3 linked regions of the Lytechinus pictus genome follow. The protein of the gene in region 3 interacts with the protein of the main gene of each other region in a biochemical or structural test. Links are inferred from orthologs where the notes say so. Each region holds a gene or a part of one and is shown on either strand. Other genes may lie near its edges.

Region 1 (4,981 bases), on a different chromosome or scaffold from region 3:
ACACCTAACTCCACAACCAGAAGTCACTTTTCAACCAAACTTGGATGGTAGATGGACTTTGGGGACCTGCATTTTATGCTGCAGTCGGAGGTCATATGGTAAGGTCAAAGGTCATTTTTTCACGTTAAAGTTTACATGCAAGACTCTTATGACACCTAACTCCACAACCAGAAGTCACTTTTCAACCAAACTTGGATGGTAGATGGACTTTGGGGACCTGCATGTTATTATGCAGTCCGAGGTCATATGGTAAGGTCAAAGGTCATTTTTAGGTCAACGTTAAAGTTTACATGCAAGACTCTTATGACACCTAACTCCACAACCGTAAGTTACTTTTCACCCAAACTTGGATGGAAGATGGACTTGGGGGACCTGCGTGTTATGCTGCAGTCGGAGGTCACATGGTAAGGTCAAAGGTCAGTTTCAGGTCAACGTTAAATTTTACATGCAAGACTCTTCTGAGACCTAACTCCGCAACCGTAAGTCACTTTTCAACCAAACCTGGATGGTAGATGTACTTGGGGGACCTGCATGTTATTTTGCAGTCGGAGGTCACATGATAAGGTCAACGGTCATTTTCAGGTCAATGTTAAAGTACAACCAAACTTCGATGGTAGATGTACTTAGGGGACCTGCATGCTATTGTGTTGGGAGGTCACATGGTATGGTCAAAGTTCATTTTGAGGTCAACATTAAAGTTTATGTGCAAGACTCTTATGACAAGTGTTATTCCATCCCAGTCATTTCACAAGGAAGTTTTGATACAATTCTGTTGCGTGCCCTCGCAAATCACTATATTTCTGGTTATTTTCATAAGTGGGCGAGACACAAAATTGCTTTTGCCTTGTATTTGTAATGAGGGTGGGGGTAATAGAAACCCATCAATTAACCAATACTACATTTTAAAAAAGCCCAAAGAAATAAAGCTGTAAAGTTAATGGATTACTGAAATAAAATCAAACTCTATTTAAGCCCCAGTCACATGTAGACACGGATCCTCAAAGATCAACACAGCAATGCCGGTATGAATTACAAAAAAATAAAAAACCCAAACTTCCTTTAACCAGTAAAAACGCTGTTTTAATTTTTTACACAATGCAGTTTACTATTTGTACAGTAGTTGTTAAGTGCTTGAAATCTTACATTACAAAATTTGAATATTTAATCTTAAATAAATAAAGCATGCTTATGTCAAGTGTTTAACAACTACTTGAAAGTTCATAAAGTAAACAGCGTTGTATAAAATTGATATGAAAAAAAAGAACACGGACTGTCAAGGATACTCCAGGCAACCATGCGGACCTACACGGCAACTACACGGACCAACACGGCAGCTACACAGACATCCCAGATTGCTTGTCTACCCGGCAGTCCACGGATGACACCGGACGTTTTTTTTATAGTAAAAAACTGCCATGTTGGCATCCCGGCCGGACATTCAAGGCGCCAACACAGATCTCTCCCCGGACCACCTCGAATCAGATCCGGGGTGGTCTGGGGCCTTTTTTTATGTGACTGGGGCTTTACAGATTATAGTGAAGACAACGTGCTTGATACTGAGGCCATTGCTACATGATTTGGGGTTTTTCATCATTTACGAAATAGTATGTCTCTCCCTTTTCTTTTTCCTTCTTTTTCTCCTATAAAAGTTGCCTGGTTTTTCCCCACTAGCCTTCTCAAGGGTTGCCTAAAGAAAGCTTTCTGCATTAATATTGTTAAAAAATAAATCTGCATTCATCCATAGAGCTATGATTCATCAGTGCTCAGACCTGAAGCTCCTAGGTATGCTCAATGGAAATATGGATGAATGCACATGAAAGGAAGTCTTTTTATGAAATCCTATGTTTAAACATTCCATGAGCCCCACAAATAAAGAGCTAGTGATAAAAATAAACCCCTGGGATTTCCCTTTAGCATTGCAGTGCAAGTACAATAGCAGGCGTGTGTGTAATTTGACCAGAAGGGATTACCATTTTCTACTTTTTTTTATCAAGTAAATGTTAACTCAAAAGGAACAGGTATAAGTTTAGTTGATATCTGACAAGTGTACTTCATGCAGTCTAGATAAAGTTAATGCTGTTTGTATCAGATGACAAATTCTTTACCTTGCAGGTAAGATTTGTGTATGTTCATGGTCATGGAAATGTACGTTATTTATTTGTGTGTGTCTTCCTGGATGTACCCCTCAATATTTGGATCCAAACAATCAAAAGAGGACCAAGGAGTGTGTACTGTTGCTTTTTAATCGTCCTTATTGCTTGAGACTTTGGTGCTGAAGTCGGTAGTTGTCAATGTTTGAGTTCTTGGATGTTTGGGATAATAATCATAATGTAGTATACAAGTATACCAGGCTTTGAGGATGCATAAAAAAAAATTTATCTGTGGTTGGACCGCCAATAACTATTTTTCAGAGAAAAAAAGGATGATATTCCCAGTCCAACCAAGGATGAATAATTTCCTCAATACTTAATAAAGAAACAACAGGTATATTTGGTTTATATCTGTTCTTTATTAAAGTAGATCCCAAAAATTCAGTCCTACTTGATCCATACCCAATCTGGACCAAGATATAGGTCCGTCACTTTGCTTTCATGCCCGAGGAGGGGGGCACACCCATTGACGAGTGGATACCAGGCGCGACCATTTGGTTATGAAATGCATATCCTAAACAAGCATTTTCCATATTTTGAAAACGCATCCCTTAACAAGTAGTATTGCCATGTGAAACCCTACCCTTAACAAGTATTGGAAACAAAACGGTAGCCTTGACAACTAATCCCTGAATTGACCCCCTAAACAGCGATATTTTAATTGTTATGTCATGGACGTCAGCTTTACCTCTACTTTTGTTGGGTTTAGTACCGCCCAATCTCCCACGCCTCTCTCAAATCGGACTCTAAACACATGTTGGGGCAAAAAGTACATCCTTTGTAAAGCATTTCAGTCTGTTTTATACCTTCGCAAATTTGATCGTAAACACATAGCTTTCCTAGCAAAATATGTACACTTTTTTCAGTATTTTAATGTTTTTGACACCCTTATTATGTTACGCGTAACATGCCCTTGAAAACTAGAGATCCTTTTTACGCGTTTCTTTGGTCGCGCCTGGTATCAACTCGTCATAAATGGAAGTGGCCCACCCCCCCCCCCCTTCTGGCTTGCATGCTGACCTACTTCTCTGTCCAAGGGAATCTGATTCGTTTCTAGACCGTTGCATCATGAAAGTTGCGCAGAAGAGACACGTAGTGGTTCAGCATATTTGAGAGATTGCATAATCTGTGACATCAATGATGGAGTAGCTAGTGCATTGATTTCATGTTTCATGGGGCTATTGCCAATAGTGCTGTATTTTTGGTGTCCATCTTATCTGTTTTGGGAGTCATTTGTGGGGACTTTCAGTTCATGTTCAAGAACTTTGCCTGTTATATTTTAAGAATAATACCAAACATAAGATATATGTAAATATGCCATGCAGTGTATGCAAGAAAACTTTTCACTGATTTACTATGCATCATGTATTCCAATCGTGATAAGTTCAAATTGAAACATTTTATAAGTTAAGTAACACTAACAGTGAGAAATAAACTTTCAATTTGCACTAGGCCTATTATTTGTCAATAGTTATTTTTGCAAATTGCTTTCAGATATATTTCATTCAATGTTACCTTTTATAAGTTTCTCCAGTGCCCTTCAAATAATCATAACTCGTAAATTCTGGACTCTGATCTTACACTCATTCTGAATATGGAAATGATATTTTCCTAGTAGCGAAGGTCCGATTGTTATGTTTAGCCTGCTTTATATCAATAGAAAAACTCGCTGTTAGATTTGATACCAGATGTACTGGATTTGATATTTGATTGATTGAACCTTTGGATGTTATTACCAGGTACAACATGGATGTTACTGATGAAAGGTAAGAAAGAAATGACAGTGTATACTTAGTTGTGTTTTGATGTCAGTAGGTTATGGGGGATTTATAATGGCAGAGAGGCAAACAGCCAGACATACTTGGATAAAATTCAAAAGAGATCTCATTTTATACACACTTGTGACAAAATAAAACTGCAAAAATGTACTCTTACATGTATTTGTTCAAAATATTTAAATGAAGCAGAATCACCAATTAATACAGATATTCCCTCCATTTTGTGTTCGGGAACTTCCTTTCAAAACTGGTGCAGCCGTGAGAACATTGAAACACGATACAATTACACGTATGTAATCAAATATTTGTGCAAGGCTTATTCAAACCCCATGTTATGATGATGAAAATAAAATGGAAACCGACATGTATAAATAAAGAATGTCAACTAAACACATTATAAAACTCATATTTATTAAATATGAGTTTTATAATGTGTTTAGTTGACATTCTTGATCCCAATTCAACTTGTTGCTTCAGAATCTTTTATCAATGCACATACGGTAATATAGTTTAAAGGTAAATGTGTAAAGTGTAGGATCTTCAGAATTTCATTGATTCCTTATTACATTCTAATTGACAAATATCATGTCAATTTCCCTATGTAATGTACGGTACTTGAACATAATGTAGCTATGTGCATGTGTGGAGTTTTCATGAAGTATATTGGCTAGAGCTGAACCATTCAGATTCAAAGGTTTGTTTCATGAATGTGCTAAAAGGGATGAACATATTTTGTTAAAAAACAAAATGTCTGGAATACTAGTTTGAGTTTCCTTCAAACAACTATTTTTTAACCTGTTAGAGACTGACTGAGCCAGCATGCATATACACAGGCTAGACTTTATGCACTATAGTGAAGTTTAGCAATATTTTGAGAAAACAGTCATCATGAATATTCATTAGGTGGGCTGATGATGTCACATCCCCACTTTCCGTTTTCTTATGTTATTACATAAAATCTTAATTTTTTCATTATTTCATACTTGTGTGAATAATATGTCTCCCTTATAATGAAATAAGTTGCAGCAATAAATATCCAATGCACTTGTCAAT
Region 2 (4,981 bases), on a different chromosome or scaffold from region 3:
TGATAGCATCAGGAAAGAATGTATTTTGATATACACTCCCCTCCAAAAGTTTGGTAACACCTGCATTCAGTGTGTGTTTTTCTATATTTGGTAGACCTTATTGATGTTCAGGCTCATAGCACAGTTGAATATTTGTTTTAAAGTGAAGATTATACAGCAGTGTAAATTTTGTTATTGATTCAAACAAATTTATACTCTCTTAAATGGCTGGCTACCAGTCAAGATGGCATTCTCTCAAAATGCTAACTTCTTTTATAACATGCAGTTATTCATAGCTTTTGCACTAATACATGTGCAACTTCATTCATTTTTCCTTTTCCTAGTCAGAAGTCAGACACAAAAATAAAATTAAACAATACTCAGTGTTTCACTGATATGGAAAACTTTTTTATAGATTTTATTGAATAAACAAAAAAGACAATAAATCCTATATTTCTTTTAAATAACCACAATAACAATCAAAAGGGCGTCAGTTTTTTTCTTGATCATGGAAACTCATTTATTGAAAAAAGACTTTACAGTTTATTCTTTGTTTTTGTGATACTGTAACAAACAAATAAAATCTAGAATGAATTTTAACTTAAAGGCATGTCTTTCTTTTTCAAAGTGTTCCAATTAGACTGCCTTCTCATCAAAGAATCCTCCTTTGACAGCAATAACAGCACGACACACTCTCGGCATCCTGTTGGTCAACTTGTTGAGGGAGTCACTTGAAATACCCGGCCATGCCTTCTGTAGTATCTCCCACAGATGAGTCTCACTTGTTGGGCAAGTTTCTCGAACCTTCCTGTCTAGTTCTTCCCAAAGCAGCTCGATGGGATTGAGATTGGGGACTGGGGCGGCCAATCCATGATTTCCAGGACTTGTTTCTCTTCCTTTTTCTTCAAGTAGTCTTTGCATAGTCTTGACGTGTGTTTTGGGTCATTGTCCTGCTGGAAAACGAATCCTTCTCCGATCAGGCGTTTCCCTGAAGGGATGGCCTTCCGCTGTAGGATAGAATGATAGCCGTGCTGGTTGAGGATACCCTCTACTCTGTGCAAGCTGCCTACCTTTCCTGCACCAAAGCAACCCCAAACCATGACATTACCACCACCATGTTTCACAGTTGGCTTGATGCACTGGAGTAGCATCTTTTCTCCCTTTCGCCGTCTCACATAGGTAAGTCGCTTGCTGCCAAACACCTCGAACTTTGATTCGTCAGACCAAAGAACCTTCTGCCACTGCTCCAAAGACCAGTCTTTATGCTTCCTAGCCCAAGCAAGCCTTTTCTTCCGGTTCTTTTCTTTGAGGAGTGGTTTCCTTGAAGCCACACGGCCCATCAGCCCTGCTCCACAGAGACGTCTTCTAACAGTTGAAGAACATACAGGCATCTCACGGGTGTTGTTGAGGTCAGCTGTAATCTGTGGGCAAGTCAGACAACGGTTGCGCAGACTGCTCACCCGAATGTATTTATCTTCAGCAGGAGATGTTGTTTTGGGCCTACCACTTCGTCTCCTATCCCCATTAGACCCAGTGGCCTCTTTGCGTTTCAGGCTGTAGTGAACAGCATGGATACTGATCTTGAGTTTCCTGGCTATTTCTCGCATGGAGTAGCCTTCTTTCCTCAAAACTACAATTGACTGACGTGTTTCCAAAGAAGGCTGTCTTGTCTTAGCCATTTTGATTTTGTGACTGACTTCTGATTAAGAAAAACTGAATAGGCAAAATGAATGAAGGTGCACTGGAATAAGTGTAAAAAAACTCTGAATAACTTTTGAATTCATGAATTTCAAATTGCACTGATGTCTACTCCACTTCCATGCATTTTCTTTAAAGAAGGATTAGGCATTTGTCAAGTTCAGATGTTTTCCAGGATAAAGATGCAGATTTCCATAAATTAACTGTCTTATGAACAATACTGAGCAACAAATTCTGGGGACATCTGCTGTAACATTCACAAAATAATGGGAAGAATTTCAGAATAGAACCCCAAACAGAATGCCATCTTGACTGGTAGCCTGCCCTCTTTGGCAGCTGCACGTCTCTTAAGAGCTTTGAATTTGTTTGATTCAATGATAAAATGTACACTGGTGTATAGCCTTCACTTTAAAACAAAAGTACAGCTGTACTATGAGGCTTAACTTCAGTAAAGTCTACCAAAGTTCGAAAAACACACACTGAAGGCAGGTGTTTCCAAACTTTTAGGGGGGAGTGTATGGGTTCTGGCATATGGGATTTGGAACTGATCAGGGGAGCGTTTCATCAATATTTTTATCCGACAAGTTGTCAGATCTGACATCTTTCCCTGATTTTGATTGGCCGAGAGGCACTGTTCCCATGGTAACTGTCGGATAAAATGGGACTTGTCGGATAAAACGTCCGACAAGTCCTTTCATGAAACGCCCCCCAGGATTTCCACGTGTACATGGTCCAGTTGATTTGATGGAATAAACTGGTCATCCATGATCCGGGATGTCAATAAGCGTTGATTATTGCATAACGAGTATATACAGACATTCTGTAGACCTACATGCCGATATGACGTATTGTTCAACGCCACTGATCTGAATACTATAATAAAAGGACTAAAGATAGTGGACAGATCAGTGTTCAACACCCCTTTTTGTGAGTTACCTCTGCATCGATCGCAAGCTGATGCAATTAGGCAAAGCATTGCCCGAGATCAAAGGGAAGCACCCTTTTGGTGATATATTGCCATTACAGTACACGACATTTTCCAAGAGTGTTCCTGTACATGACACAAAATGTCTTTCTCGATATTCGGATTCAAGATTTCATTGCCCATTGTTGGAGCAATAGCTGCTTTGCTGTTCGGGTAAGTAGATATAGGCCTATTTATGATATTTCTTCTCGTAAGGCTTACGCTACGTTAACAGTAATATTTAAAACCGAGTTTGAATAATAGACTAAAAATGGGCCCTATCTTCAATTTTTTTTTTCAATCACATTTCCTTCATGTTGTTCTCTTTATTCTGAGCTTTGAACCTAGTTTGTTTGCTCGGTTGAACTAATGTAATCATTATTATACATTCAACATAGATGTTCCTGTAAAACATGGATTCATTCATTGTAAAGTTGTAGATTCTTAGCTCCGCTAGATGGACACTGGATGCACGTAATCAATGTATTTGTTAATTCGCATCCACACCATAGCTGTCAACAGTATGAATATAGGCCTACGTACACCAAAGGTGTTCAGTACAGACTTAACATAAAAAGAAGAAGTTCCTGTACTCCGATAGATCAAGAGATTGACCAGCGTTATTAACCCCCTCAGTTATATCATGGATAGTCAATAATTTCATATAGCGCTCCATGGTAGCTAGGCCTATACATACAAAGATTACACAATTTAATTCTACACTGAATGGAAGTGGTGTACCAAGTATGTTTCCGGTTCTGCCAAGGTGCAGTGGTTCAAAAGTCCCCATCCATCATCGACCTCCTCGATCGGCTCCTGGCCTGTTCGTAAAAGTAAAAAAAAAGTATTGTGGTCTAAACTAAATTTCGATAATATCATAATCTAACCATATATATATATATGTATAATCTATATCGGTGTGAGTGGGGAATCAAGTATGGTTTGCTAAGGTGTGCCTATCAATAGTTGTTTATACAACTGATTATACCCTCATTTGCATAGCTTTAAGTAACTTTGCGTCTCAAAATTCATACAATTCCCTGTGTGAAGCATAGAGTGCCGTGAATGCTGGTACTACTCATGTATATTCGGTTTTGGGGGCTATTTCTCTAAGCTGATACCATTGTGAAAACTGTGAAGGACGGCTGAAGGGGAGGTATAACATTAAAATTGATATGTGCAAATTGATATATATTATATCAATTAATAATATGTCTGCAAACAATGATCAGTTCTAGACGTTCTGAATAACAGAAATAATTAAAGATCACACCACACAAGTCATGTTATATCTGAAAGTTTAAAACGTATGATCATCTTTTTCTAAAGTTCGGAATAATGCTAATACGTCTTAAACATTATTAAAACAAATCTTTACTATGTGATCGGAGTAGAACTCGGCTTCAAATTGCAACAGATGGCAAGATTGATATGACGTTAACCTACGTGCTGCCATGTCGGACAAAGAAAATCACAAGCGACTGTTTGTCCGTCGATAACTTGAATGCGAGACCCATAAAATTTTACTTCCATAATACGTAATGGTGGTTAGGCCACCTATTTTTGTTGGTACTATAATTTTGTCATTTTGTAAGCACCATTGACACAATTACTATCAACATTATTCATGATTTATATATTTATCACCAGCCAGGAGCTATGGAACCTAACCTACCTTTGGAGGAAAGGAATCAAGGGCCCAAGACCCCTGCCATTGTTAGGCAATATTCTTTCCTGCACAAAGGTAAATTATGAGATGGTAAAAAAGGTTCGATATAAACCTTACAGATGGGAATTGTGAACTGATAACTTTTAAGTCATAATTGCTTGAACATTAACGGAGATTCCTCTATTGTTCAGGGGCCGCGGAACGGTTTTCAAGGGGGGGGGGGGGGGCTGACCATGCAAAAAATCACAATCCTATGGTAACTTTTACGTTTTTGTACACGGTTTTGGAAAATCTAGTTCATTACATATCAGACATAAATTCGTGGTTAAAGTCATATTCCACAATTTATTTAGAAACTAGATTTCGATTTTTATTGATTTCTAAATTCAATACAACAAGACATTTGCTATTTTATTTCATTTTTCTCACCCACTGTGTAAGATAGTATATGGTGAATACATATTCTGATATGAATTAAGTCCTTGCTTGTGAAAAATGTTAATGAAAGGTCCCCAAAGTTATGTTTTAGAAGTTTTAACGTTTTTTATTCACTGCAATACAAAACCAAACAATGCACAAAATACAATTCAATTAATTTATTAACCATATAAAAATATTTAAATACAATGTAAAATAACATAATATAAATGCATAAATGTAACAAGATATAC
Region 3 (4,981 bases):
TCTATCACAAAATTTGATTTTTGAATTAAATATGTCACAATTTTTGCTCGCTCGCTTCAATCGCTAGCAACTTAAAAAAAAGGATAAATTATGCCCGATACGCAATATCTGGCCCTCTCAAAATTGTCGCCTCAAAACACCATGATATGACCGGGAAATGTTTGACTCTTGCCCCCCCCCCCCCCCTGGCCACCAACCCCTGTTACGCCCCTGCCAAGGAGCTACAGTTATAATCTGTTAGCTCATCTAACCTAAACATAAATTTCAGTATCACACTTGAATATTTGTTCTCATGTCATTTTAAAATTCTCAACCAGAAGCCAATTACTCTACATTTATAATGATTCAGAATCAACCCCGTCCTGTCTCCCCATACACCATAGTGTGCACTTGTTTACAAATAATATTGTCCTAAGAAACTTTCTGTGTAACACTTCAATCTGGCTTATGTCTTCATAACCCCATATTTCGCTCCCATACAACAGGATTGGTAAAATCAGATGGTCAAATAAATGACACTGAATATCAACTGACAATTGCATTTTTTTTTTTGGGGGGGGGGGGCTTTAGCTAACAATGATAATGTTCTTCTCGCCTGTGTGACTCGTTTTTTTTTAAGGTACAATTATTTATTTTATCCCCAAGTAAAAAAAAATCATAAACGACTTCAATCGGCTCATTATTAAAAGTGAAATAGGCCCTTCCTAACTTTACCCCCAGAAAAAATGACTATTTTGGTTTTAGAAGTATTTACAGTCAAAGTTGAAGTGACATTTTCTGCAATAATCGTGAACTGAGTTCAATGCTGACTGCAACTCATCAGGGGTTTCTGCCAAAATGACTGTTTCATCAGCATATAAAATACAAAATAATTTAGAAAATATTCCAAATCCTCATCTTGTAGGACATTACAGAGATCCTCAGATAGCAAAGTTCAAGCCTGGATAAAATCTAGAGATATATGTTCCTGAAAATCAATAAAGATGAAAGATTTTCACCTTGTCTTACGCCGATATTACAACTATAAAAGTCTGACATGTTTACAGACACATGATTTTGCATATACAACATTTAATACTTTTCAGTCCATTTACCTCTGATTTCGTCATTCTAACCACAAAGATTGCCCATCAACTAAATCAAATGCTTTTTGTAGTCTTAAGGCACAGTACACACGCCTCTTTTTTGTAAATAATAGTCAACAATAGCCTTCGAAGCAAAAACTTGATCAACAAATTGTAGAATACAGGAGGAGTCACTGCAAATAGGCCTTAACGTGTCCCTTTTCAGGTCAGTATATATACCGGTACAAAATTTAGGGCGCGCCGGAGCCGAAAAAAAATTGTGTCCGCCTTTGTCTCCCCGGAAAAAAAAGTCCTTTACCCCCGACTCGCACCCCCCCCCCAAACGGTTTAAAAATACTGTTGCCGCCACTGATTCCATCCCAGACGTCTGGGGAAGGGAGGGGAATGTACATATTTTTAGTTAATTCAACTGGTGGGTTCAAAGACCACTTTGCAAAGATGAGTCAGAGATGGTACGTAATAAAGTTGATATAGACCCACTGACGCGACCCACAATATATAAGCACATTCAAAGTTAAGAAAGAAAAGAAACACAATTACAGGCTATAAAAACATGTAGGGCGCATCATTGCATATGGAAAGTCCCCTTTTAAAAGAAAAAAATATTGCTCATGCAGTGTAGGCCTATATACATGTAGTTATAAAATCTGTGCCTATGATATATCTTGATTTACCTTTAAGTTAATTTATTGTTTACACGCAGTGCCTTGACAATATAATAAAAACAAATGAGAAACGAAAAGGCCAGTAGTTTTATATTATAGCCCCCCCCCCCCTTTCTTGCGCTGCTGCAGATTCGATTACGTCAGAATCAGATAATGATCGAGAATAATCCAAATGTGATTCAGCGCAGAGCGCTATACCACTTAACTTAGCCCCTAGAAGATTGAAATAATGCATAAAGTATTTTAGACCTATATTCTATGGACAGAGATACATATCGAGAGCAATGATTGATTGATAGCCGATATAACTGTCATCAATTGTCGATGTTGACAGAATTACACTACAGAGAAGAAAATCTAAGCGCACTAGCACTGTAGGTACGCGTGCTGGTGATCGAAAACTGACATTTGTGAAAGAAGATGAACATAAAGATGAATGCTACGGAACTAAAGGAACAGGGGAATCGCTTTTATGGATCACGCAAATATGAAGAGGCCATTGGATGCTATAACAAGGCCATAGTGAGTATGATATTTAGCCTTTGAATGCATAAATAATCACAAATATTGCTTACAATGTACGAGCTTTGCTTACTCTAGTCCCACTCATAAACATTTGTGTAAGTAATTTAGCAAGGTCATGAAGATATTTGGGTGAAAACCATACGGCATACCAGACAGCTGGCAGCCGTCCGTTTCGAGGACTCTATTTACATTAAAAAAAATTCTCCTCGTACACAGACGGCTCGCGATCGTGCAGCTGCCATTAGCATGATTAGGGGGTTAACAATGCAAAATCCCCCCGACGCCGACGGGGCTCATCGATTTTTGTCTTTAATAACAATAGTCAATATGAAAAGAACTGGACCAAAATAAACGTCATTCCGTTTTCGCCTGAAATGCACCAAAACGGGGAAAAATAATTTAAAAGGGGGGAAAAAAGGGACTTACTTCGGCTGTCGCGCAACTCTCACTTCCCTGGTTTATCCAAACTAAGTTAAGTCCAAGTAAAAAAAGAAAGTAGTTGATCGTCCTCGCGCGCATCTTTTTTGGCCACCGCATGAAATATATTACTTTTTACTATTTTCAAAAATTTGCTAAAAAATATAAAAAAGTGATGTTTCTCGTCTGCGCCTGCTTCCCTTTTTGATTGCTGCATCAATTTTCTTGATATTAACAATTTTTATGGCTGCTGAAAAGCGAAAAAAATAAACAAGATTTGCGAGCAATTTGCTCTCATGTGCTCTGGGATCTCTCGCAACTTCCTAAAAACAAAAACAAGTCCGATATCGCGGCTCGGTCTGGCGATCACTGCTGTAAATACACAATGCCTTTTAAAAGGCCACCGCACACCTTATGATTGGTCTGCAACCCAATGTTTAAAGGAGAATGAAACTCTTGGAGCGAGTTAGCTTTTGTGAAAGCAGAAAAATCAAAGAATAAGATCAACAAAAGTTTGAGTAAAATAGGACTAGCAATAGAAGAGTTATGAGCATTTGAATGTCGAGATCACTAATGCTATGGAGATCCTCCCATTGGCAATGCGACCAAGATCTATGATGTCACAGATGAACAACTCTCCCCTTTTGGACACTGAAAATATACCCCAAAACATCTCTTTTTGCTCATTCTAATCATATGACAAACGATTCATCAATGATATAATGTTGTGAAACCTCTGTACTTGTCCTCTCATAAAGAGAACACCTCACCTTGTGATAGACTCTATAAAAGTGAGAATATAAGTGAAATAAGTACTAAAGTAATGAGGGAGTTGTACGTGTGTGACATTACAGATCTTGGTCGCATTGCCAATAGGAGGATCTACATGGCATTAGTGATCTCGACATTCAAATGCTCATAACTTTCTTATTATTCATTCGATCTTCCTCAAACTTTCAACAATATATTTCTTTGATTTTTCTCTTTGATACGGATTCAGCTGGTTTCAAGGGTTTCATTCTCCTTTAAATGAAAATTGCATTTGATGAGAATATTGAGACATGGAACATCTAATACTGTGGAAAGTTCTAAATCATTGAAGGAATGCGTAAATTGTTCAAAATCTGTGACTATACTACACTCCTTATTAGAATAATTTATGAAAATTCAATAGTAACATTGTCATAACAATCACACGATTGGCTGATATTTGAAATCAGTTTGGTCTTGACTGAAATATAATGCCTTCCATTTTTCCAAAATTTTGATTTAGTATTCCCATAGTTACTTTGAAACTTAAATGAAAAGATTCTTTTCATTCATACATGTACTTTTAAAAAATAAGCAAATTGTGATTTCTTTCAAATTACATGTAGATCGTTGACCAGTTGTAAGGGGGGGTCTTTGTATTTGGCAACCAGTCAATTTGACTATATTCGCCATCATAGATATTTTTCAAGTTTATTTTCTTTGAAAAAAAAATTATTTAAAAAAGATTCAAATCAGGGCGCGACAAACCTGCTTGCCCGCTTGCCCAGGGCAAGTGAAATTGACGTGTGGGCAAGCATTTTTCAAAGTCAATTGCCCGATCGGGCAAGTGCTTGTTTTGAAAATGAAAAAGATAAATTGACAGTAAAGTTTAATAATTTTTGATAAATTGCAATTATCCATCAATTATCTCTCATACAATGTCATACCAGTAAAAAAACAGTGGAAACATGTCAAATCAGCGCCAATTTACCGACATTTTATCGCCAGCGGTCCCGTTCGATGGGTGCTGCCATCTTACTTTCTAAACTACACTGTGCGCATGCGCTACTAATCGACGAAGGAGCTAGCTGGGGAAACCCCTCTCTCGCCCTCTGAGCGCATGCTCTACATGTACTATGGACGTACACAAGCGATCGCGAGCCAGTCGACTCTCGAGCTAGATCGCGCTGAATGCATGCAAGCTTCGGACTGACTCGGCCAGGATCAGGGTGACCAGACGTCCCGTATTTTATTCATTTCTAAAACATTTTAGTTTTTTTTTAATTTTAAAAATATATATAAAAAAACACCAAATATCATTAGGATTTTTGTTATAAAATATGATTGGATTGTTTTTATTTGCTTGAAGTTTGAACTTTTTCCTCTTTCTTTCTTTTCTATCCTTCCTTCTTGCCCTTTTTTGTTACATATCTATTTTTATTTCCTGTTCCTTTCTCTCTCTGTTCATTTTATTTCTTTCCTTCTTTCTCCTACTTGCCTTCTTAATACATTTCCTTTTTTATTTCCTTCATTTGATCC

The links.
Region 1: the proteins of E3 ubiquitin-protein ligase CHIP-like (region 3) and leucine-rich repeat serine/threonine-protein kinase 1-like form a complex in vitro, tested with the Homo sapiens proteins (2 studies listed by BioGRID and IntAct, with this or other methods). The link is inferred for Lytechinus pictus from reciprocal best matches to the Homo sapiens genes STUB1 and LRRK1.
Region 2: of the proteins of E3 ubiquitin-protein ligase CHIP-like (region 3) and cytochrome P450 3A24-like, one has a biochemical effect on the other in vitro, tested with the Homo sapiens proteins (3 studies listed by BioGRID). The link is inferred for Lytechinus pictus from reciprocal best matches to the Homo sapiens genes STUB1 and CYP3A4.

The regions. Positions count from the first base shown.
Region 1 is NC_087249.1:24,368,165-24,373,145, forward strand, and holds the start of leucine-rich repeat serine/threonine-protein kinase 1-like, read left to right. Parts: upstream 1-2,023; 5' UTR 2,024-2,112; intron 2,113-4,981.
Region 2 is NC_087251.1:35,007,757-35,012,737, forward strand, and holds the start of cytochrome P450 3A24-like, read left to right. Parts: upstream 1-2,002; 5' UTR 2,003-2,744; coding exon 2,745-2,815; intron 2,816-4,291; coding exon 4,292-4,385; intron 4,386-4,981.
Region 3 is NC_087254.1:34,716,761-34,721,741, forward strand, and holds the start of E3 ubiquitin-protein ligase CHIP-like, read left to right. Parts: upstream 1-1,867; 5' UTR 1,868-2,170; coding exon 2,171-2,272; intron 2,273-4,981. UniProt on the Homo sapiens protein: E3 ubiquitin-protein ligase which targets misfolded chaperone substrates towards proteasomal degradation.